Linked DNA regions of Tamandua tetradactyla. The protein of the gene in region 4 interacts with the protein of the main gene of each other region in a pairwise test. Links are inferred from orthologs where the notes say so. Each region holds a gene or a part of one and is shown on either strand. Other genes may lie near its edges. The genes, in order: RASSF7, PAK1, TRIP6 and NCK2.

Region 1 (7,353 bases), on a different chromosome or scaffold from region 4:
TCCTGCGGCTACTGGGGTGCAGGCTGCTGGAGAAGAGGGGAGCCCAGCAGCTGAGGGGCCAGACAGCAGCAGGACAGAGGCCAGGACCATGCTGCTGTCTTGGTGCCTCAGGCCCGCCCGCCACTTCCCACTGTCCAGCTCAGAGGTGGAGAGGCCAAGGCCCAGGCTGCAGGCGCCAGCGCCCTGAATGTGGGGGTCCCAGTCTTGTGCCCTACCGGGCCACAAGAGCTCCAGCCCCAGCCAGCCCCAGAACGCTAGGGTGCTCTCCAGGAACACTGGGGGCATCACACTCCAAATCCCAACCTCAGCCCTTTGCAGGCTGCTGTGGGCAATTTATTGGGGTTTTGGCTTCAGCGGTGAGGTAGCACTCCTGTGCTCTTGTCACGTATACATGCCACTTGCAGACGCAACGAAGGCCACCTCCCGGCCGCAAGCCGGCACCCCCAGGCTACACCCTCCTCTGTGCCTCCCCTGTCCCCAGCAAAAAATTGTGACTCTCAGTGTCCACCTTCTTGGGGGTACTTGGCAGACCTGGCCCAGGGCCAGCCGCCAGCCCCACAGAGCAGAGACTCCAAGGCCTGTGGCATTCTCCATTCCAGTCCCAGACCCGAGGGCCACGTGGGGGACAGTGCTGTGGCCACTGGATCGCCTTCTGTCACCTAAGCAGGGCCGGTCTTGGCGAGGCTAGCACGGGCATCCACCGTGGGGCAGGAGCTGCTACGTCCAGGAGTTCTGCCTCACAGGAGTAACTGGACAAAGGACACAGGGTGAGGGGCTGAGAGAGTCACAGGAGTACCCCTCTTGTCTGGACAGGAAAAGACAGACATACCCTCAGGGTTCAGGCGGGACCCTGGGATGGGGCTCCGAGAGACTCCTGGGAGGGGCTCTTCTCCAGCTGGAGGCAGGAGGTCCTGTGGGGGGCAGGGGAGGCAGTTCTGCTGGGCTGGGCACCAACCCCCACCCTGTGCCCAGCCTCCCTGGGGTCTCCTCTCACCTGGGATCTAGGGGGGCCCCTGTCCGGCCGGGGGCATGGGGACAAGGCAGCCCCCGCCTGCTGGATGAACTGCTGCAGGTTGCACTGGCGGAGCTCCCGGTTCAGTTCCTCCAGCTCCTGAGCCTGGGCCTGGGGGCACGTGGAGCCCTCAGGGGGCTGCCTCCCACAAGCGCTCTCCCCACCTGACCCTAAGCACCCCACGCCCGGGAGGGGCTGGGGTCCCACGGGCTCACCTGCAGGGCACACTCCGCAGCCTCCAGGGCACGGCTCACCAGGGCCAGGCTGCCCTGCACCTCTGCACTCTGCCTCTCCTGTGCGGCCAGGTCGTGGCGCAGGCGCTCGGCAGCGGATGCTACAGGGGAGGGCGGCCCAGGGGCCTCTGTGGCCAGGCGCATTTCGGCCTCCAGGGCGCGAGCCTGGGCGTCCAGGGCCCGCAGCCGGGCAGCGTGCTCAGCAGTGGCCGCGCTCAGCGCCCGCAGCCGTGCCTGACCCTCACGCTCCCGGGTCTGCTCCCGCCGCAGCTCCTGCTCCCAGAAGGCCTCCTGGCCCAGCTCAGCCGCTGCCCTCTGCACGGCTCTCTCCAGGCCTTGCAGGTCTGTGCAGCAGGCTGTCGTGGGGGCCACGGAGGCCGCAGGCTCAGAAGTTGCGCAACAAAAGGTCACTGCTTTGTGGTGCTCGCAGCCTGGTGTTGGCCGTGGCTTTGGGGGGAGGCTGGCACGAATTGGGCAGCGCTCAGGGGGTGGGCAGCTGTCCGAGGAGGGCCGCCCGGCCAGGCTGGGCCCTGTCCGCCTCAGGACAAACTGGACATCGCTGGCAAACTGGCCACAAGTGGCCTGGGCACCCACTGGACACTCCTGGGGCAGCAGCTGCCGCTCTTTCTCCCTCAGACGCTGCACAAGCACAAAGCGGCCAGTCTGGCCTGGTGGGGGAAGCACAGTCAGTCCGTGCCCCCCCACTTCTGTCCTGTATGCCTATGGTGGCGAGTCAGAGGGAGCAACCCATCACCCCGACTTCTGTTCACTTGGCTTGACAGGTGAGGGTGGGCAAGACCGATGAGGTGGGCCACCTGGTCCCTGCACCTGACACCGACTCACCTATGGCCTGGGCCAGTGCGATGACCACTTCCTGGCAGGTGGTCTGCTCCGAGACCCCGCAGACCACGCGCTGGACGCCGTCCACCCACACCTTGAGCTCCATGGCGGCCAGCCCCAACGGCATGCCTGGGCCTGGGGTAGAGGGGCAGGTCGGCTGCTCTCCCCTGCCCCTGGGCCCCCAGCTGGTCTCAGGGCTTCCAGCCTCTCCTTTCGCCCCGCCCTCCCGTGCCCAGCCGCACCCCAGGCCGCACATTCCTGGGGTGGGGGGAGTTAAGACTAGACCCCCAGGAAAGGAACTCAGCCAACCCTTCCTGACAGGCACTTTGGGCTCTCCAGACCTCAGCAGCCGCCCCTTGTCCCCCCCACTCCAGGAACAAGGCAAATTATTAACCAGATGCAGGATTTCCTGCCCCTCCCGCACCTGGCGCAGAGGCACTGCCCGCTCCTGGGGGCGGTACCCAGCGCCACAGTCCCCAAGCACCCAGGGCGCCAGGACGCAAGCACAACGCTTTCACGGCCATGGAAACGTACCCCCAACCTGGAAGGGCCCTTCTCAGGCCCCGGGACCACTCGGGAATCACGACCCTGACCTTGACCCTCCGGCCAGCGCCCGAAGCCCCTCTGCCCGATCGGCGCCCGTCCCCAGCCCAGCCCCGCACCTGGGCGGGCCCCCGCGGCCTCGCCGCTGCGGAGGGGCAGGTGCTCCCGCCGCCCCCACGGGCGTCCCGATCCCCTCCTCCCCCGCCCCGGCGCCCGCGGTCAACTTTCCTCGGTCGCAGGCGGCCACCCCGCCGGCCCGGGCCCGCGCGGGGACTCAGGAGGTTCAGCAGCCCAGCTCTGCTCACCTGGGCGCGCGGACCCCGGACCCGCCTCGCCCCGGCCTTCCTGGAGCCCCCAGCGCCGCCGCAACCTGCCGCCCCCGGCGCCGCGGGCGGCCCCGACCCCATTGGCCCGCCGCCCGCGCGCCCCGCCCACCGCGCCCCCATTGGCTCCTCTCGCGGACCGCCCGCCCCCGCCGCGCGCCCAGTGGCCACCGCCCCTCCGCCCGGCCCCGCCCATTGGCCCGCCGCCCGCGCCCCGCCCCGCGGAGCTCAGGTGTGGGTGGGGCTGGGCCGAGGGGCGGGCCGGCCCAGTGCACGCGCGCTTAAAGCCCCCGAGCCACACGGAAGCGCGGGCGGCGCAGGTGTCGGTCCCCGCGGGCCGCCGATTCCACGCAGCGCCCAACCTGACTGCGTCCCGGCGCTGGGGAGGGACGCCTGGGCCCAGGCCCCGGGTTCTGAGTCCCGTCCCCTCGCCCTGCCCCGGGCCCAGCTGCCACTCGATCCCCGAGTCGGGGACGCAGTGCGGGGCTCCAGGTCGTGGTGGCCGCCCTATGGGCGGCCAGGGGCCCGCGGCGCGTGGCCGTCTGCGCACCCGTAGCCAGGCGTCAGGGAGCAGGAGTTGAAGTCCTGATAATGAAGGAGGCGGGATGGAGGTCAGGTCTAAGGTCCCACGTCTGTGCTGTGGGCGGCCGGCGCAGTGGCCTTGGGGACCCTGGCTGCGGGGAGGTGATGGGCAGAGGGAGGTGGCAGGCCTGCGTGTTAGATGGGTGGGAGACAGAGACCGCGGGAGGGGCCAGGAGGAGGCTCAGCACGCTGCTCCCCTAGGTTCCCCCTCTGGGCAGAGCTGTGCCAGGAGGCAGGGGCCACACCCACACATGCTCACACACACAGGCCAGCAACCTGCCCCATGCCACAGCGCCCAAGGCAGGGCTGGGGAGCCTCTGCCAGGGTTGGGGTGTCAGAGGATCAGTGGGTGGCCGTGGCAGGCCCTGCTGGTCACTCCATGGTCCCCTGAGCCTCCAGCCGCCCCCCCCCCCCCCCCGAGCTAATTCAGTGTCCAGGCTTAGGGTCTCTCAGGAGGCTCCTGGTAACAAACAGCCCCTCCCTCTTAGGGTGCCGGTGTCCATGGCAATGACATAGAGCCCCTCCCTGCCCCGCCTGCTTGGCTCAGACCTCAGGACCTGGGTCTGGGGCATAGAGGGGACCCCCTTGTTCTAGGCTGAAAGTCAGGACCTCAGGTACCGGACGGCAAGGGTCACTGGGAACACACAAGCCAGCAGGTGACATGCTGTTTGGGGACATGACCTGCTGCCCTGGCCTGGTGGGACACACACAGGCCTCTTCACAGAGAGATGCCCCGTGAACCGTGGGAGGGTGGCACTGCAGGGGGCTTGGAGGGCCCGGCAGGGATACCCACCCATTGGTCATGGGGCAGCTTTGGCCCCACCACCCCAACAACATCCAGAATGGTCAAGCCCTACCAGGACACTGCAGGGACCAAGGAAGAGGCTCACTCCTCCCAGGTGGACTGCGAGCAGGTCAGTGGCGACCTGGGTCCTCCAGCTGGAGCAGATCTCGGGGTTCCCACAGTCCCACAGGACACCAAGCCCCAGGCCACGCCGGCCCTCATCTTCGCCAACCAGCAGTAAGGAGAGGGGGGTGGGAGGGGGGTCAGTGCCCCGGCCGGGCCAGACACAGGCCAGGGCCTGGTCAAGCGGCAGGGGCACTGGCATTACAGGTTGGCCCCTGAGTTCCTGGACCCCCGCACCCTGAGGCTGCTGTGGGGGCAGCGAGAGCTGGAGCTCCAGGCCCTGCGGTGGGCAGTGCAGGGCAACCGAGATGGTCGGCACAGCTACATTCTGCAGGAGGTGGCCGGGCGCCCACCCGAGAGGTCAGCAGCAAAGGACCCGGCACCACCCCTCCTCCGGCCCAAACCAGGACCCCGTCCTCACTCTAACTCAGCCCCAACCGCTGACCTCAAGCTTGGACTCCAACCCTAATCCCAGCCCTGGCCCTAAATCTGACCTTGGCCCCTAGGCCTACTGCCTGCCTGACCTTGACCCCTACCCTAACCCTGAGCGAGTCAACAGGGGTGAACACAGCGCGGCACTAGGTAGAGTCCGGCCAAAATCTGGACCCCTGCCCAGACTTGACCTGTCAGAGCCAGGTACCTAGGAGCAAAGGAGCCCCTTCTTTCTCCCCTCCTCTGACCCAGAGGTGGGGGCTGCTGAGCCCATGCCCTCCTCCCAGGAGCTCCCACGGTTGGGATCGGGAAAAGCTCCTGCAGAACCAAGTCCACAAGCTGACTCTGGAGCTGAAGGAGGAGAAGGAACGAGCCCAGTTGGTGAGGGGTCAGGGGCCGGCATAGGGGAGCCAGGCTGGGGTGAGGTCAGGACCGGGCAAGGTTTGGGCTGCCAGGGCCTGAGAGGGGGGAACCACAGGTGCTCCCTCCCCGAGCAGGAGAAGGAGCGCTGGGAGAAGAGGCTCCTGCAGGCCACCAACACGCTGCAGCAGTTGGAGGCTGAGCTGCAGACCTTCCAGAAGTCCTGCCTCCTGCAGCTGGCCCACTCCTCCTGGGTCGGCCGTGTGCTGCGGTCTCAGACCGGCAGCGTGGAGGTGAGCACGCCTCCCCACCTGCTCCACTCAGCTTCGCCCGCCCTCCTGCCTGCCGCGTCCCCTTCCCCAGCCTCCTTGGATGACATGTTCCCCGCTGACCTCTGCCGCTGCAGGGGTACACGGGCCTGCCTGGGGGGCCGAACTCTCAGGCTCTCTGGGACTAAAGCTTCCAGGAGGGAGGGAGCGTTTTCCTGCAGTCCAACCCACATGACCTCGGCACATCACACCCTTGGGTGCTGCTGAGGTCGAGGGGGAGGGGAGGCCCTTTCCCCAGCCCCAACTGGCTGCTCCCCACCTCCTCTTGCAGGTGGTGACAGCAGACACATTGGTGATTCCCAGTGACTCTTCTGAGAATGAGCTGCTGCCCACCGCGCAGGAGGTGAGTGAGGCCCCCCGCGTGGGCTCAGGGCTTGGAGCCCTCCAGGGTCGGAGGACGGGTGGGCGGGGGTGGCCGAGTGCCTACTGCTTCCCGTCAGGCCTTCCGGCTGGAGGACGTAGACTGGAACAGCATTGCCCAGCGATACCCCAACCTGCTCACCAGGGTCGATTCGGAGCACAAGTAACTGCGCAGCCCCCACCCCACCCCAGGGGCCAGAGAAGGGGGGCTGGCCTTGCCACCTGTGGACCAGAACCCGAGCCTGGCCCTCTTTGTGCCCCTGAACCTCAGTTCTCTATCTGTGAAGGGGGTTAGGGGGTGCCCCTGGGGTGAAGGTAAAAGACAGGTCCCAGCTGGCATGCCCTCTCCTGGGGTGAGCACCCCAGTTACAGGGACCACACACCAGGATGGGTGCTGCGGCCTGGGCTGGGCATCAGGGAGCTGGCTGCACCTGGTGAGCAGTGCGTGGCCCCACAGGCAGTCAGGGCAGGGCAGCTGGAACTCGGAGGCGCCCCGCAAGCGTGCGGGGAGGCAACAGAAGAGCGTGGAGTGGAGCTCCCTGCCAGGGGCGCGCAGCAGCAGCTCTGCAGGCTCCAGCTCGGACGCTGGGGGCTGCCCGCTGGCCCAGCCCTCCCTCGTGCGTCAGGTGACAGGACACCCGCCCCAGGGGCCAGAAGGATCCTCCCAGGAGCAGGTCGATGCCCAGACCCAGACCTTCAGCGGAGACACCACTACCGGGCTGGAAGGTGGAGTAGGCAGCTCTCCCCGTACCCCCACCCCCAGGCCCGGCACAGCTGCCCCAGGAAGGCCTGAGACCTTTCTAGGGGTCAGCAGGTGGACCCAGGGGCCCTGGCCCAGGTGAGGAGGCCTCGCAGTCAGAACCAGCATTACCAGGCCCCAGGGCCTCACCCTCCCTCCTGGTCCCTAGCTCATTCCTTGTCCCCGCGGACCCCCAGGGGGCTTCAGGGCTGTCTGGCCCTCAGGGGGCATCCTCTGTGGGTGCTCCAAGGGGTCCCCTCCCGGACAGGCCTCCTCTACCAGGATCGCTGTAATCCCCTTGGGGCGCCCTGCAAGATCTCGGTGGTGCCCAGGCCATACGGACGCGACGAGAGGTGGGGTGCGACCCAGTGGCCAGGGCGCAGGCACAGCGGGTCTCTGGACACCTTGTGCCCCACGCCACCCCGCGCCAGCCCGGCCGGTTCCTACCTGAAGATCGTGGCCGTGAGCAGCCGCGAAAAGCTCGTGCGCGTCCTCAACCAGTCGCTGGAGGAGACGGCCGACCTGGGCGGCTCGGTGCTACAGCAGCTTGAGCGCGACTTCCCTGTGCGCCGGTACCGCTTCCCGCCCGGCACGCTGCTGCCGCCGCGGCACCACGTCACGGTGGGCGCCGGCCCTGCCTGGCCTCGCACCGGTCCCGGCGGTGTCGCCCGGGCCCCCCCACCCCCGCCCGAC
Region 2 (7,775 bases), on a different chromosome or scaffold from region 4:
TCACCCCCTGGGGCCCACTCGGGTCCACCTCACTCATGCTACTCATTCTCCTAACCCCCATTGAGGGCGCATCCTATGTATGGAAGTTCAAAATCAGGGAAACCTTTAGCCAAAATGATAGATTGACCACTCATATGATTGGCACAGGAGACTGCCCTCTAACAGGTTGTAGTCAGCCTATAACCATCCCCATAAATCCTAAATCAGTTGAAAAGGGCCTGAGGCCATATGCCTGCTTTCCATATGCCCAAACTGAAAGCTGTAACCAAAACAACTATGACAATATATATGGGGGATGCCCCCATTGGTCATGCAGAATACATGATGCTTATGTGGAGGCAGCTCATAAAGGTACCTTCTACATTAGCTCCCAGCAATTTTACATAAATATTGCAGATCCCTGGGACACAAGATGGGTAGCAGGAATCCAAGGCAAGCTATACTACAGTGGCTGGTCCCGATACCCTGTAAGCACCATTGAAATACACCACAAATATGTCCTCATTAATACTACTTTTACCCGGGTATCCACGGGCATTTTGCAGGCTGAGCAAAGCCTCTCCAGCCACCTTGCCCAAAGCTCTGCCTCCACAACCCCTCATACATGGCCCCAAATCCTCCAACAAACCTTGCAATTCCTCAACCAAATGCAAATACTCCCTAAGGTATCCTGCTGTTTCCTCTGTGCATCATTAAATAGGCCACTATTGGGAGCCGTCCCTATAAATCTCACTCAAATACACAATCATAGCCCTGATTCCTGCCATACCACTCTAAAAAATATCCCCCTATGGGAACCAGAGCCTGATAACCTTCCCTACCTCCTGAAAACCTGCTACCTCACACATATAACCATAGATCAAACAAAACATCATAGCAAGTGCCAGACTAACGTCACTATCCATAACACCACCCATGCCCCCAAAGGACAATATTTCTGGGGTAATGGAACTCTTACCAAGTGCCTTCACTCCACTGCCCCAGGGCCATGCTTCCTGGTAACTATTGTTCCTCAATTGACCCTCTATGGGGAGTCCGAACTAACCTGGCTACTGCCCTCTCCTCGCTCAAAAAGGGCTGCCTTTCTTCCTATCCTAGTAGGCATCAGCCTAACCGCTTCAGTCGCAGCCTCAACCACAGCGGGAGGGGCATTGGGACACAATATTTTAACCTCTCAAAACTTTGAAACTTGACTACAGGTAGCCCTGGAATCAACGTCAGAATCCCTCTCCTCTCTACAATGCCAACTCACCTCACTAGCCCAGGTAACTCTTCAAAATCGACGGGCCTTAGACCTGCTGACAGCCGAAAAAGGAGGAACGTGTATATTCCTACAAGAGGAATGCTGCTATTACATCAATGAGTCGGGTCTGGTGGAACAAAATATTCAAACCCTAAACAAACTAAGAGACGATCTCTATCACAGAAAACAAGGAACCAACTCTGCCTTTAGCTGATTTTCTTCTCCTCTGGTGACATGGCTCCTCCCACTACTAGGACCAGTTATCCTAATCTGTCTCTTTTTCCTCCTAGCTCCCTGCCTCCTCAACTTCCTTCAGGGATGCATGAAGGAACTATCCTGGGTAGCAATCAACCAAATGCTCCTGCATCATTATCATCACCTGCCTTCCTCACCAGATTCCTACAGCCAGCCTCCCCACTCCCCTGGCCATGACGGTTCCGGCCTATAACCCCACGCCACCCCATTACAGCAGGAAGTAGCCAGAAAGATCTCGGCGCCCTATTATCACAAAAAGGCTGGAATGTTAGGTCAGAGGAATGGGGAAAGGCACTGCAGCTGGAGCTGCAGAGGCTGTGTCACCCTTCCCAACCTGACTTCTGGAACTAATGAACTGCCCCTTCCGGACGTCATCTGACCCCCATCCTTAAAAGCTGCCCGCACTGAAGCCCATGTGCGGACTCACCTCTCTCCATCTTGGATGCGGTGAGCTCTGCCTGGGAGCGCAGAAATAAACTCGCTCACTTTAAATTTCCTGGTCTACTTTTCTTCTTTTTCACCCTTTTGCCTCCTAAACCTTTCAGAGGGCATCCCAAGAAAAGAGAAAACCCATATAAAGGCAGGAAGGCAGGAAAGAATAGGCCCTTTCGGAGAACTGCACGTGGTTTTACATGGCTGGAGAGTAAGGTTTAGAGGGCAGAGTGGCTGTGCTGGAGGAGGCAGCAGGGCTGAGAGCCTGGTCTGCCCTGCTGAAAGAGTTAGGATGTCCCGACAGGTTTTAAGCAAGAAGTGACAGAGCCTGATTATGTTTTATATTTCTTCCTTGGTACATTCTTATTTTTTAAAAATCATACAAGTAATATGGATTCATTATAAAATAATCAAAATTTAGATGAAGAAAATAGCAATTGCTTATAAACTTAGCATCATAAGTAAGTTTGTATGCTGTGTATCCTTCTAACCAGTTTTCTCTGAATTTCCTCATCCCCTTCCCCTCATCTATTTTACAGGGGCATCCAACCTTCTAGAATCTCCATGACCTTTGAGATAGAAAAAATCCTATTCAAACCACTCTCCCAAGCATGACAGGAAACCCAGATCCCTACCACTATCTCTGTGGATTCTCTTTTTTTTTGGGGGGGGGGGGGTGTTTTAGTTTATAAGTGCTGCTAGAGTGCAATACACCAGAAATGGCACAGCTTCTAATAAGGGGAATTTACTAAATTGCAAGTTTACAGTTCTATGGATTTTGAAAATGTCCAAATTAAGTCAAGGCTATAATAATGTCCAAACTAAGGCATCCAGGGAAATATACCTTTGTCGAGAAGGCTGATAAGGTTTGGGTTTTCTCTCAGCAGGAAAGGCATATGGCAACATCTGCTAGCTTTATCTCCTGGCTTCTTGTTTCATAAGCACCCCTGGTGGGGGGTGGGGTGGGGCATTTTCCTTTGGCATCTCCAGAGGTCTCTGGCTGTTGGGTCTTAGATGTTGGTCCTGGTGGCTTTTGTTGGTTCTAAAGCTTTTTCCAAAATGGTTCCCTCTTAAAGGGCTCCAGTAAGCAACCCTACCTAGAATGGGTGGAGACACATCTCCATGGAAACCATCTAAGAAAAAGTTACTGCTCACAATTGGGTGGGTCACACCTCCATGGAAACAATAAAAAAGATCCCACCCAGTACTATTGAGTGAGAATTAAAGGACATGGCTTTTCTGGGGTACATAATAGCTTCAAACTGCACAGGGGCAATGGGGTAATGTTTCTTTTGATCCCCTTTAGCTTTGAGTTTCCACCTTGATCTCCACCCTGAATTTCACTTCGTGGGGCACCTCAACCCTTTTTTCTATACCATACAACCCTGTTAGATATTTCCTCAACCTTTTCTCTCCCCCATATATTTCCTAAACAAGGCTATGTGTTTATCTTTAGAAAGGTTTTGGGGCAAGAGAGGATGGCTTATATTGTAGCACAGCCCAAAGAACAGCTTGAAACTAAGGAATAGACATCAGTTCTTTTAAGAGTCTATCAGTCATTCCCATCATTGGAAAATTCTCATTGACTGTCCCTCCACGGTGACACCAGCTGCCCAGGTTCTCTTGCTCCCTTCCTCCCTCTCTTTTTCATTCTCCAAAATCAGACTTCTCTAGCTATAAACCCCAAAGCTTCCATCCCCAATTCTCACTCTCTTTTGTACAAAGTAATTCAGCATTCCCCTCGTTTACTCCAACCCACAAAGAGATTCTAAGTTATTCTACTAAATCAAAAGTTTCTCCCCATATTAGTTTCCTAGAGCTGCTGTAACAAATAACCACAAACTGGGTGGCTTAAAACAACAGAAATTTATTCTCTCATGTCATATTGTCATATAAATGTTTTTTATCCTACTGGCTGCATTTACTTTACAGCTTTGGTATTTTAAATATCCTTCCTTAAATATGTTTGTTCCTAAATAATATTCTGCTACATCTTTTGAAATGGCTACATACTTTATTTTTGGACACTTAAGTTGTTTCCAATTTTTTATTGTTACAAACAGTGCCACAAGAGGTGTGTATGTGTTTATTTCCACGGTATACATTTTCTAGTAGTGGAGTCGGTTTTCGTACCCTCTAGAAGGGCTGCATCAGTTTATACATCCAGAAAGGCTTTTAAGTGTCTCAATCTCCAAACACTTTCTAATAGTGCACATATTTGTCCTTATTTTTTTGTGCCTTTAATTTGCATTTCTTTGACCAATAGTGAAGTTCAACTTTTTTCATATGTATTGAGCACTTGGGTTTTTTTCTTATGTAAAATGCCTTTTCTTGTCAATTGTGCATTTTTCATTTTAGATATTTGTGTTTTTCTTACTGATTTGAAAAAGGTCTTTGAAAGCTATGGATATGGACCTTTGGTTCAGGATGCTTCCCTAGAATGTCATTTGTCTTTCAATGTGTGGTAATTTTTGCTACAAAAAGTTTTACTTTTTTATGTAACCAACTCTAGCATCCTTTATGCCTTCATCCTTTAATTTCATGTTTATGAAGTCCTTCTTTATTCCAAGGTTTTATAAATGTTCAGCTATGTTTTCTTCTACTCATATCAAAAATTTTCATTTACTTACATTAAAATTTTTAATCTTTTCCTGCAATTTATCTTAGGGTTACATTTCAATATTTTTCCATGTGAGTACCCCATTATTGCAGCACCATTTGTTGAATTTTTTGTTTGTTTGTTTTCAATTGTTTATTTGCTTGTTTGTTTTTGTTTGGGGGAAAGGCATGGACGGGGACTCAAACCCAGGTCTCCCGCATGGCAGGCAAGAATTCTACCACTGAATTACCCTGGCACCCCCTTTAACTTTGTTTTGATGGTAGGTAATGGCCCAACATTCTACCCACTGCGATGAATCACAAGCTTCCTTATATACTAAATTCTAACAAATACTTGGATATTTTTCTGAATTCTCTGTTTTTGAGCTAGCACCATAATGTTTTTGTTTCAGGTGTATAAACAATTCATTAATAGGCAAGGCCTATAGACTCATCTCTCCTTGGACACACCCACGGCACAACCACGGTGACCAGTGTTCTCCGTTGCTGGCCTTGGGCATGAAGGCCCCAGAAGTGGCACAGCCCTCCGCGGACTCGAATCTTCTTCAGTCGCTCTAGATCTTCACGGAGCTTGTTGGCCAGACTGTTGGCCAGGACCTGGCTGTGTTTTCCACCTTTGATGTCCTTCTGTCAGCCTAGGATCTCGTGCAGAAGCGGATTCTGCATAAAGGTGATCACACTTTCCACCTCATCCTCGGTGAGCTCTCCTGCCCTCTTGGTGAGGTCGATGCCTGCCTCCCTCAGCACCGCAGGAGCTTACCTTCGCCCCACACCCTTACTTAACGGCAGTGCTGGCAAGGGCTGTCTTTCCGCGCTGCAGATGTGGGTGCTGAGCACACGCAAAATGTGCTGGAATTTCTCCAGGATCTCTAGAGACGGGGCTGCGTGTAGCGGGAGTGTAGCCTCCTGTGAAAGCCATAATGTTTTAATTATTGTATCCTGCAGGTTTTCTCTTTTTTTTTTTTTTTTTTTTTTTTTTTTGGTGCATGGTCCGGGAGTTGAACCCAGGTCTCCCTCATGGGAGGTGAGCAGTCTACCACTGAACTACCACTGAACCACCCGCACCCCTGTGGGTTCATTTTAATATCTGGTAGAGAAAGGAATTTTTAGTTCTGTTCTTTCTATTAATGCACATGATTTTTCTCATTTGTTTATTTTTCTAAATAAACTTTAAAATAGCATCTTTTGCATTCTGAAAGAAAAAAACCCCAGACGTTTTATTGGAATTTTATATTTATAGACTTGGTTTGAGGAAAGTTAATACCCTTACAACATTAAATCTTCCAATACATTCATGTAATACATTTCTACCCTTATTCAAATCTCCCTTTAGAGTTTTGTAGAATCACATGTTTATCATTAAATTTATAGCTGGGTGTTTTGATTATTTTCATTGTTGTGATAATGTCTTTCTTCCATTATATTTCTTTACTGATTATTGTTGGTATATAAGAAAATTAATTTTTAAATATCTCTGTTACAATTGCCAAACTTTCTTAACTCTATTATTAATGCTAATAGTTTTCCAAGCAACCATATCATCTCCAAATAATAATTTTGTTTCCCTATTAAATATTTACACCTTGTTTCTTTCTCTCATTATTGCATTGATTAATACTTCCAGAATAACGTTAAGTAACTATAATGCCAGTCAAATTACTAGTCTTAATGGGAATGTTTCTAATGTTTTACTGCTAAGTATAATATAAGCCAGTGGTTTGGTTTGAGATCAGTATTCATTATCATGCTAACTAAGGTGTTTTTCTTTAAAAATAAAACGTGTATGTTGATTTTTATCAAAATGTTTTAAGCATTTTGTTCAGATGATCATATGCTTTTTCTCCTTTGATACATCGATGACATAAATTATATATAAATAGATTTTTTATAAAACATTGAACATTCTTATTTTCTTAGATTAAACCCCCATTTGGTCATGGTGAGTTGTGTTTTAAAATATATAACTGCGGGTTCGGTTTGGAAAATTGATTGAGGAAAGGCAAGGTCAAATGCAGAAAGAACATTTAGGAGGCAATTGCAGTTCTGAAATGAAACAATGGCAGTGCAAATAGAGAAAAGGTCTAGCTCTATGAGATATTTAAGAGGAAATATCTATGAGAGGTAGTGGCTCACTATATTTGAGAGACAAAGAAAAAAAAAGAAATTCAAGAGAGGTCCCAGGTTCTTGGTTAGGAGACATTTACCAAGACAGGGATATAGGAAGAAAAGAAGTTCTAGTGAGTGTTGGAGTTAAGAATAGAGGATGAGCTCAATTTAGGGTTTGATGTCCTGAGTTGGTTATACATGTGGGTCTGGAGCAGAGAGATTTGAGCTGCAGATATTGATTCGGTAACTATCAGTGCTTGGAGACAGACAGCTAAGCGTGGAGAGTGATACTATAAAATGAAGGCTGAAAATGGAACCACAGAGAATATCCAATTCTAAGACATGGGAGAAGGAAGAAAACCCTGAGAAGACAGAGCCAATGAGGTAGGAAGAAAACCTATTCTGTTCACCAGGAAAACAAGAGGATGATAGAATTTCAGGGAGGAAGTGGTCAATAATCTCAAATGGAACAGAGTTGTTCAGTCAGACAAGAACTAGATAATACTTTCAGGATTTGTCAAGACCCCATTGATGACCTTTGCAAAATCAATTTCAGTGAAGGTGAAAAGTGAGGGGGAAATCTGATTATGCTGTGTATCGAGCATAACCTTGCGTTTCTTTTCAGATTGCCTTGAATGCTCCTTTCTATCCAAAGTCACGCTCACCCATAGGACTGCTGCTGCCTCTGCCAAGTACCTTCAGTTGGTTGGAGTCGAAACTGAAGCCCCAGGCCTGTGCGTGTGCGCACACACACACACACACACACACACACACACACACACACGTCTGCGCTGAATTGTCCCTCTGCTATCAGACGGATTAAATGCTGTAACACAGGGTGTGAAATCTTGCTTCCTGAACTGCCATTGAGAGGCCAGATGATGCACAATAGACGTTACACAGAAGTACAGGGGAGTTATCTTCCTATGGACCTTGACAAATGGGAAATGGGCGACAGAAGAGGACCAGGCAGGTGCATTCCCCTAATTTCTCCTTTCCACAGACTGTTCTATGGTGTGATTCCTCCTTATAGCCATGCAGGGGAACTCCCATTTGACTTATCTGCTAAGTCACCTGCTGTTTTTCATCTTGGCTCACTGGAAGCATTGCCCAGCATGGT
Region 3 (7,617 bases), on a different chromosome or scaffold from region 4:
TTGGGTGCAGGCTATGGGGTGTGAATTAAAAGGCAGACATATTGGCATTTTGGGGATGGGAGTGGGGGCGTGTTGGCATGTCGGGTCAACGCCCAGGCTCCCGGTTCTTGCCCAGCTGGTGCTCCTGGCTGGGAAGCTGAACACGCTGGCCGCCGTCGTCACCATCTTCTACTTGGTGGCCTATGCTGCGGTGGACCTGTCCTGCCTGAGTCTGGAATGGGCCTCAGCCCCCAACTTCCGGTGAGAGAATAACACGCCTGTGAGCCCAAAGGAAAGCAGGGAGGAACCCGAGGGCCTTGGACCCTGGAGGGCAGGGCTGGGGCTGCGCATGGCATGGCCAAGGTCTTCAGGACAGGCCCTGAATTTCCTTCCTTCTCCGTGTCCTCCCCCAGCCCCACCTTCAGCCTGTTCTCCTGGCACACCTGCCTGCTGGGGGTGGCCTCCTGCCTGCTCATGATGTTTCTCATCAGTCCCGGGGCCGCCGGCGGCTCCCTGCTTCTCATGGGTCTGCTTGCTGCCCTGCTCACAGCCCGAGGAGGCCCCAGCAGCTGGGGCTACGTCAGCCAGGCCCTGCTCTTCCACCAGGTTGGAGGAGCCTGGAGGAGAGTGGGAGGGAGGCAGTCTGTGAAAGCCAGCCTCCTCCCTCGGGGGTTGGGGTTCGCATTCCTGTGGCACAGCGTGGGGACTGCCCCTTCCGGCCCTCCCTCCCACCCCCTCCTCCCTGTCCCCAGGTTCGCAAGTACCTGCTCCGGCTGGACGTCCGGAAGGATCACGTGAAGTTCTGGCGACCCCAGCTGCTGCTCCTGGTGGGGAACCCCCGGGGGGCCCTACCTCTGCTGCGGTTGGCCAACCAGCTTAAGAAGGGCGGCCTCTACGTGCTGGGCCACGTCACCCTGGGGGACCTGGGTGAGCTGCCCACATCCCCACCCTTCCTTTCTGCTTGGTCTCAGGCATTCTGTGTGTCCCAAGCGCCTTGTCCTTCTTCCCACATGACCCAGCTGACCAGCCACCCAGGCTTTTTCCCTCTGCCCATTAAGGGTTTGGTCTCTACGAGAAAGTAAATGAGTTTGTCCGACACTGGCCACCTCCCTTTCCCTGCAGACTCTCTGCCCTCGGACCCCGTGCAGCCGCAGTACGGGGCGTGGCTGAGTCTGGTGGACCGGGCCCAAGTGAAAGCCTTTGTGGACCTCACCCTCTCGCCCTCCGTGCGCCAGGGGGCACAGCATCTGCTGCGAATCTCAGGCCTTGGTGAGCCTCTCCTCCCTGCCCCACCCTTTAAATCTCAGCTCCCGCCCCAGAGAGTAAACCATAAACTGCAAACCCCAAAAGGAAATCATGATCTAGTACAGCTAAGAGGCAGTGCTCAAAGATAACAGCCTCAGACAGTGGATGATAAGGTTTCCTCAGAGATGCAAAGGACTAAAAATGGGGTGATACTGCTTTTTTTTTTTTTTTTAACCCCTGAGCCAAAAAAAAAAAAAAAACGGGGCACAAGCTCTGATTAAGTAGGTTATCTGGGGACAGTGGAAGAATGATTTGAGTCTGGAGCTGCCCCATCTGAAGTAGCGCAGATGGTTTCTCACCACCAGAGTTGAGAAAAAGGAAGACTACCATGCACGGAGGTGGCCAGTAAAGAGTGTGAAGGGACGGCATCTGAGCCGGGCCTTAGGGGGTGAAGGCAGGCATGGTGCAGTGCAGTCCAGAGACCACAAAGCACGCTGGGGGCACGTGGGGTTGATGCTCTGGGATGGGGGGAAGGTTCCCAGCTTTGCAAATGTATCTTGGAGCTGTGGCTTCTGGCCTTGTACCACACGTCCTGCCAGATCCATGCTCAGCTGCCTTCTCTGCCCTTCATCCCTGGGCTGGTGTCTGTCTCCTATGAGGGCAACCCACCTCCCCCATTTAGAACCTGGCTCAGGTTCATCAGTGTTGGACATGGCCCTATTTGGTACCAGTCAGAACCCTAGAAAATGCTCAGGAGGGGGTATGTCTGGTTGAACTTGCAAGATCGGCTTTAGTTCATACCTCCTGAGAGCTGCCCTTTGTGAGGATACCTGTGCAGAGACCCCTGCTTTCACAAAGTGCATCTTGATTTAAGTAAAAGGGAAGGGATCTCTTCTAATTAGGAAATTCTCCCGGCACATAGAATTTGACTTAGTGGTAAATTTTTAGCAACCCAGTTCCTTTCCAAGAAAGGGACTTAGGAGAGGTCTCAGAATTTTCTTGCAAATTCAGCCCTTTCTAAGGGGGAGAATTGCCTGATTCCCCACTGCTGTTCAAAAGTTAAAACTCAAGCCCTCAGCAGGGACGCTGTGGTTTGTGCACACATCAGCTTAGGGGTGCCAAATACTCGGCTGTGGTGCCTGGCAGCCTGTGTTCTCACACTGGCCCGGCCACTTACTGGCCTTGAGACTTTGGGCTGGTGATTTCACGGCTCTGTGCTCATTTTCGTTGTCTGTAAAAGGGGGAGCACGGAGTCCCCACCCCGGAGATTGTTCCAAGTATTAAAAAGTTAAAATATGAAGGGCTTCCAGCAGGCCCTGGGCCCTGGTAAGCATGGAGATGTTAGCTCTGTCTTCTCCCAGGATTGTGGGGAACTATCCTTGGGGCGGTGCTAGAGGGGAAACAGGCCGCACAGCTCCACGTTCTCTTCCCCTTGAGGCAGGGTCTGGAGCTGAGTTTCCTGGCCACTGAGGCTGTGAGCTTGACTAATCAATTGGGGTGTTTGTTCTGCCCAGTGGGGTCTGCTTCTCATCTCCCGCTGGCAAAAAGATGTGCTGCTTCAAAGCTTGGAGTGAATGGCAGCCGGGTCCTTGCTTCCGACCAGGACTGCTCCTTAGTTAAAAGAATCCTAAGGCAGACTTTGTCTATTTAAGCAGCGATCAGTAGTGTTGATCAAACAAATGCGCCTGAAAATGCTGAGGAAGAACTAGAAGTCAAGATGCAGATGCGCATTATGAGGCCTTAAGAGGCCAAACCACTGGCTTGAAGGTGCTATCCGGTGAGCGCGCACCGCTGATGCAGAGCCCTTCTCCCCGCCTCCCCCTGCCCGCAGGCGGCATGAAACCCAACACGCTCGTCCTGGGCTTCTACGACGACGCGCCGCCGCAGGACCACTTCCTGAGCGACCCGGCCTTCTCCGAGCCGGCCGACGCCGCCGCCGGGGAGAGTGGCGCCCCGGCCCTGAGCGCCCTGTTCCCGCCGCCCCGGGCTCCGGGGAGCCCCCGGGCCCTCAGCCCCCAGGACTACGTGGCCACCGTGGCGGACGCCCTGAAGATGAACAAGAACGTGGTGCTGGCCCGGGCCTGTGGGGCGCTGCCCCCGGAGCGGCTCGGCCGGCGCCCGGGCGGCCCCCCGCAGCCGCACCACGTGGACGTGTGGCCCCTCAACCTGCTGCGGCCCCGGGGTGGACCCGGCTACGTGGACGTCTGCGGCCTCTTCCTGCTGCAGATGGCGACCATCTTGGGCATGGTGCCTGCGTGGCACAGCGCCCGGCTCCGGATCTTCCTGTGCCTGGGGCCCCGGGAGGCCCCCGGGGCGGCCGAGGGGCGGCTCCGGGCGCTGCTGAGCCAGCTGAGGATCCGGGCCGAGGTGCAGGAGGTGGTGTGGGGCGAGGGCGCCGGGGCGGGGCAGCCGGAGGCGGCCGACGAGGGGGAGGAGGGGGACTTCGTGAACGGCGGGCGGGGGGACGCGGAGGCCGAGGCCCTGGCGGGCAGCGCTAACTCCCTGGTTCGGGCCCAGCAGGGGCGCGGCGGAGCCGGGGGGCCCGGGGGGCCCGAGGGCGGGGACTGGGACGCGGGGCCCGCCACCGCCCTCACCTTCCTGTACCTGCCTCGGCCACCAGCCGACCCCGCCCGCTACCCGCGCTACCTGGCGCTGCTGGAGGTGCTGAGCCGGGACCTGGGCCCCACGCTGCTGGTCCACGGCGTCACCCCCGTCACTTGCACGGATCTCTGATGGCCCAGGCAGCCCTTTCCTCGAGGGGGCGGCCGCCTCGGCGAGTGGGGAAGGGGGACGAGGGCAGGCGCCTCCTCCCGCTGCCCTGGAGCCGGATGGAGACGCTCCGGGCGGCCAGAACCAGGACCGGGAAGCCCCCCTCCCCCTCGTGCACCGCTGCCCACCCCCCTGAGCCCGGGGACGGACGGGCCGCTGTCCTCTCCTCGGACCGGTGCCTTGACAGGAGGGGCTGGTTCTCCTCTTGTGACTCTAGGCTACCTCAGTTTACTCCTTCGTGGCTGACAGACTCACTGACTCCTGAGGTTGTGATGTTTTTGTTCTGTTTTATTTTTCTAACTCTGCTGAACGTGAATAAAAGACCCAAAAACTCGGCTGGCTGAGCATTGCCTGGTGGGGTCGGGGAGGGGGCGGGGAACGGGGACATCTGCGGGGGCGGGGGGGAGTGGGACAGAGAGCCGAGCGGTCCCTGCAGAGGTCCACGTGCGGAGTCGGGGGTGGGAGCCAGGGGCGGTGAGGGCCGTGGAGGCTAGTTTGGGGTGGGGAGTTCGTGGGGGCTGGGGGCTGGCGCGGGCCCCATCCCGTCCCGGGCGGACGCGGGTGGAGCCCTTCCCACTCGGCAAAAGGGGGCCAAGTCGGGGAGGGACGGCAGTTTGGGGCCTAGGGGGCCACGTGACCCTCCCCCAGGAATGCGGTGACGTCATCGGAGGCGTGGCCGTCCCCCAAATTGGGGAGGAAGGGAAAAAAAAAAAGCCAGAAAAGTTTCTTTCCTGGAGTCCCGAACGAAGCGTGGAACGACAGAGCAGGCCACGGCTGGAGGACCCTCCGCGGTCAGGGGACCACTCGCTGGAGCCTCCTCCCCCATCCCAGGCCATGTCGGGGCCCACCTGGCTCCCCCCGAAGCAGCCGGAGTCTGTCCGAGCCCCTCAGGGGAGAGCGTCCTCCCGAGGCTCCCCGGGGCCACCGCCAGCCCCCGGAGCAGGTAGGGCAGCCCTGCGCCGCGCGTGCGGCGGGACGGGACCACCGCGGCCCAGCGCCCTCCCTCCCGCCGGCGCCTGCTTCCTGCCGCCCCCTCCCCCAGGCCGGGCTGGGGCTGGCGGCCAGGGTCCCCCTCTCTCCCCGCCCTGCAGCCCTCCCTGCCAACTCGGACCCCAGGTGTACTCCTCCTCCCCTCCCTCATCCCCACCTTTGGTCTCTCTTCCCCTCATCCCAGCCCTCCAGCCCCACCCCAGGGTCAATTTTTGCCCCCTCCCATCTGAGCAGTGTTACCAGGCCCCCGCGGTACCGGAGGATCCGGGGCCAGCCTGGGTGGGGTCCTATGGAGCGCCCCAGCGCTCACAGGTGAGAACTGGGATTGGGGGGCAGGGTGCGTGGGGCCCTCGGAGCTGAGTGTGAGCCGGACCCAAGATGGGAGAGGAGATGTGATTTGCATTCTCTCTGCTTTTATTCCATCCCCAGGGACTCCCCCCAGATAGGGGGGGCTTACGCCCAGGAAGTCTGGACGCTGAGATAGATTCTCTGACCTGCATGCTGGCTGAACTGGATGGGGGTCGTGGTCATGTCTTACGGCGACCAGACCAACAGGTGAACCCCTGTCCGGCCCCCTCCTGCCCCCAGCCTGCCCATCCTCCCCAACCTGTCCCTTTCCCTCGGTTCTCAATCCAAATCCAGTCCCCTTCCCCTTCCTACCCCATACACACCCATATTGAAAAGCGTGGGAACGGGAGCTCTTACTAATTGTCTGTGACTCAAGGGCAGGGCCGCCTCAAACACGTGGAAACACATGGTTCCATGAACACATGGTCTGGAATGGGCCTTGGTCATTGTGGTCTGTGTTTCCCCCCAGGCTTATGAGTCCCCTCAGCCCCCTGCCTACCGCTCCAGTTCCCTGAAGCCGAACAGAGGGGGTGTTCCAGCCCTGCAGCTCCCAGCATCCTCCTATGGGGGTCCCACTCCGGCCTCCTACGCCACTGCCAGCACCCCAGCTGGCCCGGCCTTCCCTGTGCAAGTGAAGGTGGCTCAGCCAGTGAGGGGCTGTGGGCCACCGAGGCGGGGGGCCTCTCAGGCCGCTGGGCCTCTCCCTGGCCCCCACATTCCTCTCCTAGGCCGAGGGGAAGTCTGGGGGGCTGGCTATCGAAGCCACCGGGAGCCAGGGGGTAAAGAGGAGGCTGCTGGGGTTTCTGGTTCAGTCGGAGGAGGAAGAGGAGGCGGATATGGGGCCCAGGTAAGCCTGAGGCACTGGGATTTTGCGTCCTCATGGACAACTAGATGCTGATGGTACGGGGTACAGGGTGGAGTTTAGTGTCCTGGTTTTAAATCAGAGTCTGAGGGCCCGGGCCTCAGAGCTCTGGATCCCTGAGGGATGTGGGCAGCCTGGGAAACAGGAGGGAGAGGGCTGCCATTGGCTCTGTGAAGCACTCCTGTACCTAGGGCTGAACTGTTCTCAGATGGGTTTTCTGGGTTGACCTGTCACTGTCAGGAGTAGTTGCCAGAGGTAGGACTGAAACCCCGATTCTTGCCTCCCAGGTCCCCCTGAGCCAGCCTCCGGAGGAGGAGCTGGAGAGGCTGACCAAGAAGTTGGTGCACGACATGAACCACCCACCCAGCGGGGAGTACTTTGGTGAGCAGGGTGGTGGGAAGGGGCAGGGGGTACTAGAGAGTCAGAGGGACGGTGGGCCTGTCTTCCTGGGTCTGTGCAGGCTGACCTGTTTCTTCTCTGACCCTAGGCCGGTGTGGGGGCTGTGGAGAAGATGTGGTCGGGGATGGGGCCGGGGTGGTGGCCCTCGACCGAGTCTTCCACGTGGGCTGCTTTGTCTGTTCCACATGTCGGGCCCAGCTCCGGGGCCAGCATTTCTATGCTGTGGAGAGGAGGGCATATTGTGAGAGCTGCTACGTGGTGAGTGGCTGGGAGGCTGGCATTGGCAGCAGGAGGCAGGGGGCTTCTCTCTAATGCAAGAACTAGCTGTCCAAGCCTAAAAAAGGAACAGGTTCAAAGCTGGGAGAATTGAGACTGAGACAGGAGAAGAAAGGAAGAGTTAGGTAATAGCTAAAGATCTGGGCTGCTGGTGGGGAAGGACAACATTCCTTTCAAGAGCAAGGCAGATGAATTAAGGAGCTGCCTTAAATTCCCACCATGCCCCTGCCAGGCAGGTATTCCTATTGCTTCCCATTTATATAGCTCAGAGACATGAAATGACTTGTCCAGTAACCTGCAGTGCTGAGACTTGAACTCAGGTCCTTTGCAATGATTGTTCACTGAATCACTGGCAGTGGGCTAGATAAATAGATGGTGGGCTGACAGAATGACTGGAGAGCTGCCACGGGGCCCCCTGACCATCCTGCTCTCTTCCCCACAGGCCACCCTGGAGAAGTGCTCCACGTGTTCCCAGCCTATCCTGGACCGGATCCTGCGGGCCATGGGGAAGGCCTACCACCCTGGTTGTTTCACCTGTGTGGTGTGCCACCGTGGCCTTGATGGCATCCCCTTCACTGTGGATGCCACCAGCCAGATCCACTGTATTGAAGACTTCCATAGGTCAGGCCCTGCCCTGCCCTTTCTCTCAGGATGCCCGGCTCTTCCCATCTCCCTCACCTCTGCTGTTTGCCCAGCACCAGTCCTGTTTCTAATCCCTGGCCCTGTTCTTTGGCCTCACTCTTTTCCCT
Region 4 (7,866 bases):
GTTCCCGGGCAAAGCGCGGCCTCGCACGGCCTCGGCGCCGGGCCCCGAGATCTGGGCTATTAACTCGCGCGGAGGACACGCGCCGCCCGGCAGCCGCGACCACCCCCCCCATCCTGGCTCCCGGGCTGACCCGCGGGGAGGAGGACTCGCTCCCACGCCGAAGCCCGGGCTCCGTCCCCGCGGCCGGCTCAGGAGCCGGCACCCTCTGCTCACCCGGGGCTTGCCCGGCTCCCCGGGACCCGCTGCCCGGGGCACTTAGCCCCGTCCCCGACGCCTCGGCCGGCCGCGCCCCCGCCCAGACCCTCCGCGGGGCGGCCCCGGTCCCCCAGGGGGTCGGGGCAGGGGGCCGGGCCGGGGAAGGCGGGCAGGAGGGTGCGGAGTTGGAAAGTGCCGAGCCCAGCCCAGCCCGCCCGCGGCCGAGCCGAGGGGGACCCGGTGGGCAGCAGCCAGGCGCCCGGTCCCCCCGAGCCCCAGCCCCAGCGCGGCCCCGCCCCGCCAGCCCCCGCCGCGCTCCCAACTCCGCCGAATAGCCACAAGTTTGCGGCGGCCGCGGCGCCCCCCGCGCCCCCCGCGCCCCGGGCCCGTCCCAGGCGCGCTTACCTCCGGCGGGGGCCGAGCGTGAGGGAGACGCCGGCGCGCGGGGGTCCCGGCGGCGGCCGCGCTCCCCGGCCCGGGCGGCGCCGCTCTTTGTCTGCGCCGCTCCCCTCCTCCCGCCGCCCGCGGCCGCTCGCCCGCTCCCGCGGCGGGGCCGACCGCGCCCGGGGCCCGGGGCCGCCGCTCAGCCTTCGCCGCCGCCGCCGCCTCGGCCCCGCCGCGCCCAGGCCCGGCCGCCCCTCTCTCCGGCCGCTCCGCCGCCCCGCTGGCCGCCGCGGCTCCCGGCGCCACCACCCCGGCGGCGGCGGCCCCTCCCCCGGCGCCCAGCCCCCTCCCCCGCTCCGCTTCCTCCTCCCCGGCCCGCCCCTCGCCGCCGCCTCCCGCCGCTCCTCCCCCGGCCGCGCCGTGACGCCGCCGCAGGCCCCGGGCGCGCGGGGCGGAGGCGGCCGAGACCCACCTGGGGGCGCCGGGCCTCGCCCCAGGCTGGGGCTCCCGGGCCCGGCGGGCGGCGCTGCGCGAGGTGCGCGGCCGGGGATCGGGGGGGGCGGGGAGGGAACTGTCAGCCTGGGCGGCCCGCGCGGGTGCTCGGCGACAGCTGGCCGCCGGTGCGGAGGGGGGACGCGTCCCTGCCGCGGGAGAGGGCTCGCCCGGGGGGCGAGGCGGGTGGGAACTGGGGAGTGAAAATAAGGGCAGTGGCTGCCAGCGCCGAGGGCCCGGAGGGGGGTCGCGCCCGTCCCTGCTCTGTTTGATTTTATCGTGACGCTCTCGCCGTTTGGCCCCCGTCCCCTTCCCGAAAACATTCCCACGGCACTCGCAGGAAGGCAGGCCTGTTGTCCATCAGGAAAGTGACTTTAAAATGTCACTTCCTCCTTGTAATTGCTCTTGGGTATTTTTATATCTTTGCCTTACATCTATTTACTTTCCCAACCAGACAAGTTTTTTTTTTTTTTTTTTTGGTTTTTGTTTTTTGTTTTTTTCTTTTTGCTCCCGCGTCCCTGCTGGGGGCACTTCCTGAGGGCAGGAGAGGAAACCCACCCTCCGCGGCCACCCCTGCACCTTCGCCTGCTCGAGCGGGTAGCAGAATCCGGGGAGTTGCTGCGTGAACGTGGGCGCCGGGAGGAGTTTTCACGCGTGGGGGGACCGGTTCCCCAGCCCAGCTGCGAGTTGGGCCTCACCTCTCTAAACAAACGTGGAAGATGAAATCCCACAAGGAAAGGGAAAGGATGACACATGCACCAGATGCCTGTTCTCCCACCTCCTTCCCATATGGATTCCCAAAGGGAAACCCTAATATTCAAATGATTCTGATATCCTAGCGGGATAGCCTGCAGCCATGTTAGAGAGTGACCCTGAGGCTCCTGGCTTCTCCATGACTATCAAGGCAGCAATAATTTATTCCAGGAGACCAGGCAGTATTATTTGACTCCCTCATCCCCTGTCTTGTCCTGGCAAGAAAGTCCCCAAGGATGGATAACTAGAGTCTGTATACTTTGAAGTCAGACAACTGAATGTCTCTTAATTTTTCTAAGCCTCAGTTTCTTCCTGAAGTGAGGAGATATGTTTACCTGCATCCTTTGCGATGTTGGGGCACACCTCATTAGCAACGTCTGGTAGCAGGGTGGACCACGTCGATTGGGAGATGAGAGAAGGGAAACATTCTGTTTTCATAACCTTGGAAGGTAGCCCCTCAGTCCATCCTTTCCTGAAAACTTTGCTTTACTAACAACTTGCTTTACAAAATGGAAAGCAGAAATCTACTCAGTGGTCTGCCCCAGTTTTAAATTAGTTTACTTGAAATAGGTTTAACAGTGTTGACCCAGTTTTTAGCTTGTTAGCTTGGTAAACTTTCACTGAATCATGTATCTTTGAACATCATCCAAAGCCTCCTTTTCCTCCCCAGACTCTGGCTCAAGGCACCCGGGACATTATCTACAAACCCAGCAGCCTGTAGGTCTTTATCCAAGGTTGTTTTCCAAGCAGGTGGCCTTTCTGCTATTTCATGAAACTCAGCCATCTTTTCATTCATCTAACACGTCTGATTCCCATTCTCTTACATTCCTCTGTATCCTTGTTGGGTGTTTTGTCTTCCCAGCTTCTGACGGTGGCCATATTCCCGACACAGATTTTGGCTTTATGTTCTTATTCTGTCAGGTGCCTTTTTTCCAGAGAGCTAATCATTTTGTGAATGCTTCTGGTCTGGATTTGCCAGGACTAGCTCCCAGATCTGTAGCCCTAGAGAGACCCTTAGCCCTGACCTCGCCTTTACGCCCGTCTCTGGTTTCACCTGCTCATGAGACCCTCCCTGTGGCCAGCAACTCACCTCCTCGAGATCATCCAGGATGAACTTGGCCTCCTTGCCACACCAATCCTTTCTTCCACCACCTTCTCTCGGCCCCCAGGGTAGAAACCTGTCCTTCCTCTAGTTCTGCTCTACCTGCAGAAAGTGAGGGGATTGCCGAGATCACGTGAAGATCCCTTGCCATCTCCACTCCCATGACTCTGAGTCATGTTGATTCTTAAGCATCACTTTGGCCACACCTTTCTACTTTCAATGCTACCGTCCTAATTTTGGAATTATTGATAAGCAAAATGTTCATGTATTGAATATTTTACATTTGTCGTCTTTAATTCAAACACAAAATTGTCTTCCCCATTTTACAGACAAGAAAAATGAAACAGCAAGCCACAGAACTGGAATCAGAACCTGCACATACTGGACTCCAAAACCTGGTGCCACATTCTCAGGTTCTAGGTAGACCCATCTTTTGGGGGGTTTCCATGCAACCCATTACAAGGCCCAAGGTGGCTGAGACATTTCTTTGAAGCCTGAGTTGTATCCAAAAATATCTACCCATTTCTGCATTGACCTCCATCAGTACATCCAGGTTTGTTTTTCTATTAAAATATCCTCACTAACAAAATATTGAAAGGGCCGAAAGTGTAATAAGCCTTTTCCCCCAAAACACATCAGCATCAAGTCCTGCTATTTATCTTTCACAGGCCTCTATGACCTAGTCCTGCTGGAACAATCTAGTTTCTTGGTTCAGCCCCAATATAAGCGATTTGGTTCAGTCCCCCTGGGCTCTCCGCTGTCCCCCATTTAGTCACACCAATTTCTACCTTCTAGAGTGCAGAGTAGCCAGGAGCTCCCTGCCTCACTCCTCACCTATTTAAGGTGTTCCCGGAAGTTCTGGACCCGCCTCCTCTAAGCCCTCCTTGGACTAGATAAAACTTCTGAATTCTCCTCCCAGGTCCAAGGCCTGCTTACAGCCCTGTGACTTGGACAAGTCATTTAAGCATTCTGAGCCTCACATAATAGTAGTACGACTACAAGAATTGTGTGGATTACGTGAGCTAATAGGAAAAATACCTCTTCTGTGTGCTTCGACACCTGGCAACCCCTCATATCTGCCTTTCTGTGCCCTTCTGTCTTGACCCTCAATTCAATTAAACCTTCCTAGTACATTTCTATTTGTAAGGCGTTAAAAGAGGCAATTCGGGAGAAACAGATAAATTGAGCTTTTAATCTCAGAGGAAGGATAAGGCACAATATACAAACAACTACAACGTAAAGCTAAATTTGAAAAGTATTGAACAAAATGAGAGAATCAGGAGAGGCTTTCAAAAGGTGGTGACATTAGAAATGGACCTTGAAAGACAACACAGTAGCAGACTGCCATAACCAGCTACCCTACATCTGAGTCCCTTCCTTGTTTTAGGGAGACCCCCATCTGAATGAGAGGAAGGCAGGGCTCCTTTGAACCCTCCCACTCAGGCCTCTGAAACTTGAGTGTGACAAAGAGGGAGAAGGGTGAAACTCGATTTGCTCTGGCCTCGAAGTCCCAGCACTTCCTTCGAGGGTAGCCAGCCTGCTTAGTTCCCAGCCTGCTTCCTTGCAGCCCCAGCTGCCCTAGCAGCTCTTTGATATGATTCCAGTAAATTTTCATTCTGCTTAGGGTAGCCAGAAGCACTTTCTCTTGCTTGCAATCAAAACCTCTGACTAAGCAACCTGTACAATTTTGAAAGATGGAGACAGATAAGGAGGAAATTCCTAAGAAAGGGGGTAGAGACCCATGAGGACAGAAAGGAGAATGTTGGAGGGTTTGATGGGATCAGACAATGGCCCAGTTTCCTTACATGGAGGAGAGGATGCTCATGAGGTGAAGTCCCAGGAGATAAAGTGTGGGTGTGGGCATCACCTCAGCTTTGTTTCAGGAAAACTCATGTGGTGGGTACACCAAAGAGGTTGAAGGAGGAATGCCCAGATGCAGGACAAACAGAAGTTTGCATTTCTCAGAGAGGTAGGAACCCAGACTAGGGTAGGATGAACAGAAGAGAAAATGGTTTACAAGAGCCTGGGATGAAAAGCTCAAAAGAGATTGACAGATGGCCAGGCAGAGAGGACAGAGGAAAAAGGCATCAAACCTAACATTAGGCTTTGGATATAGGTAGTGCATATGTATAACAGGGCCAAAATCAGCAATAGAAAAGTTGGGGAAACGGGTTGGTGAGGGATTAATGGTTTTGTTTTTGTACAGTTATATTTAATGAATATTTATAGCCAACTGACTACAAGCAGAGTTTCTTCTGGAGGTATGCAAGTGAGCAAGGCACAGTCCCTGCCCTCAAGTGACTTTTTACTAGAAAAGAAACCATTAGTGTTATAATTTCCCACTGGAGTAATGAGCCTTAGTGTTCTTTAATTGCATCATCTATCTTAGTGTTGAGATAAACACCCTGCAGGCAGGGAACAAGTCAGAGTTTTCCATTCAGAACCCCAGCACCTTTTCCTCTACAGAGTGCCTAGCAGAGACTTAATAAACTTTGATGATGAATGGAAAGTCCACATTTTTTTACGAGCTCACCAAAGGGGACAGAACTTCAAACAATAGTGAAGAGACCTACAAGACTTCATGAACCCATAAAACAATTTCAGAACGAATACTGGTGGACTGGCAGGTTTCAGTATTTCATTTTATTTACATTAGCTTAGAGAGAAGGGGCGGAAACATTGAGTCTTCAGATAAAATGAAGATTTCTTACCCAAAATACAAAGCACCTTCTCACCGTCTCTTCAGACCAAAGAGGAGGCAAGCTAGAAACCCATGGAACCCATCTCTCAGTTTCTGGAAGAATGAAATCCAAAAAGCCCATAATTACACATTAAAAGTTCATCCATCTCAAAACAACAGCTACCACAAAGGGCCAGTCTGTATATAAATCTACTCTTTCCAGGTCTGGAATTATGATCTGTACTTCAGGAAATGGGTGTGCTCATCTTATTGTTTAAATAAATGAAAAAGATAAAATAATACACTATAAAGTCAAGTGCAATTATGGGCAAAAGAATTATAGGAATAAAAGTGTACTGAAATACTAACTGATCTCTCTGTGCATTTTGTCAAGAAACACAGATTGTTGATAGACACGCACAACGTAACTTTTAAACTTGAGGACTGCTTGTACTGAAAAATAAAAAATCAAACTTTAAATTATTTTAATTAGCAGCAGGGCAAAAGTAATTTTAGAGTGGACTAATTTTGAGAGTGCTCCTACAACTTCAGAAAAGCTAAGAGGATTTTACTCGAATTTCCATTTTGAAATCTACCTTTAGGCGAATATCACATCTGAAATATTTGTTAGATACAATAAACCCTCAATTAATCCAAATGCCTCAGGAAGGAGCTGTTCCCTTAAATTAAATTTTCATTTCTGTTAAGGTTTAACCAGAAAGGCCCTTTAGCTCAAAAACAAGTTGAAATTTTTTCCTAAAATACCACAAGCTGATATCTCACCATAGAAAGCACAGTACAGTAAATGAAATGTCTTTTTTTATTTTATTTTATTTTGATGTTTGGATGCCTTATAAGGCCTAAGGGCCATCATTCTGAACATGCAATCTCATTTTACAGGATTAAGCACATTGAAGATTGCGTGGAAACTAAACTAAATTGGAGCCACGTGCTAGAATGACTTTTTAAAAACCTAATACAGTTGTTTTCCCGCATCTGCTACTTTCTTCCAATAGTGGAGTGCTGAGTAGAGAGATTTCAGTTAATAAGGTTTCCAGTTATTAAAGTCTAGTTATTTAATGCTTTAATGTTTTATATGCATATTTAAAAGGGAAGACTTCTAAAATATAAAGCAGTTCTCAACTGGGGTATTGGTGAATAGTTTGTTGCTTTTATTAATCACATTCTTCATTAAAGAACAAATACGTTAGAAGGAAAGTATGTTTTAGAGAGGTTGGCTGGCACACCTTCACGGTGCTGTTTGAGGTACCCTGGTGGGGACAGCCCTCTTCTTCTGGGAGTCTGATGGAGACTTTTAAACTGGAAATCTGTGTTTGCAGAATAATCCTGTGCAATTTGATACCTGCTGATATTCAAACAGCACCCTCCCTTCATCTTTCAGTAAACTCCTTCCTAGAAGATGTGTGCATTTGTCACCAGTAAACTCCTTCCTAGAAGATGTGTGCATTTGTCACCGCTCTGCTAAGGCACTCATCCAAAAATGCCTTGATTTGGGGTCATCTGTGTCCATAGGGTGTAGAAAGGGGACACACTGACCAAGGGCAAGGGTGACTTCTTTGGATTCCCGCAGATCTCCTTGCTCACTTCTCAAAGTTGGCAAGTTAATAATGGTTTCCTGAAGGAATGGTGCAGGATACAAATTGATTTAAGAATGTTGGTGTGCTGGTTTGAAACTGTTATGCACCCCAGGAACGCCGTGTTCTTTTCATCCTAATCCAGTCTCATGGGGGCAGGACCACTGTTTGGATGAGATCTCTTGATTAGGTTGTTTCCATGGAAATGTGAGTCCACCCATTCAAGGTGGGTCTTATTAACTTACTGGAGTCCTTTCGGAGGGGAACATTTTGCAGAAAGTTCAGACACAGAGAGGAGAAAGAAGAAACCAGGGGACAGATGTTCAGAGATGTTTGGAGACAAAGAAAAGCTCAGAGAGGAGGCCACTGGAACCAAGAGCTGAAAGCAACACAGGAGCATAGGGCCAACAGACACCGTCCTGTGCCTTCCGATGTGGCAGAGGAACCCCAGACGAGATTAACCTTTTCTGTGTGAAGGTATGCTTTTGTCGATGCCTTAATTTGGACATTTTCATTACCTCAGAATTGTAACTTGTCGCTTCATGAATCCCCTTTGTAGTAGCCAATCCATTTTTTGTATATTGCATCCTGCATCTTTAGCAAACTGAAACAAATGGCTTTTAAAAATGCAAATATTTTTAATGATGTGCTATTGTAAGTTATTA

Evidence for each region.
Region 1: the proteins of NCK2 (region 4) and RASSF7 interact in binary tests that used the Homo sapiens proteins (3 or more experiments, as listed by UniProt). The two-hybrid records come from large-scale screens. The link is inferred for Tamandua tetradactyla from reciprocal best matches to the Homo sapiens genes NCK2 and RASSF7.
Region 2: the proteins of NCK2 (region 4) and PAK1 interact in binary tests that used the Homo sapiens proteins (3 or more experiments, as listed by UniProt). The link is inferred for Tamandua tetradactyla from reciprocal best matches to the Homo sapiens genes NCK2 and PAK1.
Region 3: the proteins of NCK2 (region 4) and TRIP6 interact in binary tests that used the Homo sapiens proteins (3 or more experiments, as listed by UniProt). The two-hybrid records come from large-scale screens. The link is inferred for Tamandua tetradactyla from reciprocal best matches to the Homo sapiens genes NCK2 and TRIP6.

Annotation. Positions count from the first base shown.
Region 1 is NC_135335.1:432,962-440,314, reverse strand, and holds RASSF7 (ras association domain-containing protein 7), read right to left. Parts: upstream 3,014-7,353; 5' UTR 2,934-3,013; intron 2,221-2,933; 5' UTR 2,213-2,220; coding exon 2,089-2,212; intron 1,914-2,088; coding exon 1,228-1,913; intron 1,124-1,227; coding exon 995-1,123; intron 912-994; coding exon 830-911; intron 750-829; coding exon 718-749; 3' UTR 285-717; downstream 1-284. Other genes in the region: LMNTD2 (lamin tail domain-containing protein 2), read left to right, coding at 4,262-4,554, 4,648-4,800, 5,160-5,253, 5,370-5,525, 5,833-5,904, 6,002-6,084, 6,379-6,647, 6,929-7,281. UniProt on the Homo sapiens protein: Negatively regulates stress-induced JNK activation and apoptosis by promoting MAP2K7 phosphorylation and inhibiting its ability to activate JNK.
Region 2 is NC_135334.1:67,315,626-67,323,400, reverse strand, and holds the start of PAK1 (serine/threonine-protein kinase PAK 1), read right to left. Parts: upstream 3,007-7,775; 5' UTR 2,775-3,006; intron 1-2,774. UniProt on the Homo sapiens protein: Protein kinase involved in intracellular signaling pathways downstream of integrins and receptor-type kinases that plays an important role in cytoskeleton dynamics, in cell adhesion, migration, proliferation, apoptosis, mitosis, and in vesicle-mediated transport processes.
Region 3 is NC_135349.1:8,876,920-8,884,536, forward strand, and holds the start of TRIP6 (thyroid receptor-interacting protein 6), read left to right. Parts: upstream 1-4,617; 5' UTR 4,618-4,827; coding exon 4,828-4,936; intron 4,937-5,167; coding exon 5,168-5,295; intron 5,296-5,412; coding exon 5,413-5,538; intron 5,539-5,800; coding exon 5,801-6,178; intron 6,179-6,480; coding exon 6,481-6,574; intron 6,575-6,680; coding exon 6,681-6,850; intron 6,851-7,310; coding exon 7,311-7,489; intron 7,490-7,617. Other genes in the region: SLC12A9 (solute carrier family 12 member 9), read left to right, coding at 116-240, 393-585, 732-906, 1,102-1,248, 3,056-3,957. UniProt on the Homo sapiens protein: Relays signals from the cell surface to the nucleus to weaken adherens junction and promote actin cytoskeleton reorganization and cell invasiveness. Involved in lysophosphatidic acid-induced cell adhesion and migration.
Region 4 is NC_135343.1:70,554,250-70,562,115, reverse strand, and holds the start of NCK2 (cytoplasmic protein NCK2), read right to left. Parts: upstream 3,014-7,866; 5' UTR 2,915-3,013; intron 1,103-2,914; exon of another isoform or gene 1,052-1,102; intron 672-1,051; exon of another isoform or gene 601-671; intron 55-600; exon of another isoform or gene 1-54. UniProt on the Homo sapiens protein: Adapter protein which associates with tyrosine-phosphorylated growth factor receptors or their cellular substrates. Maintains low levels of EIF2S1 phosphorylation by promoting its dephosphorylation by PP1.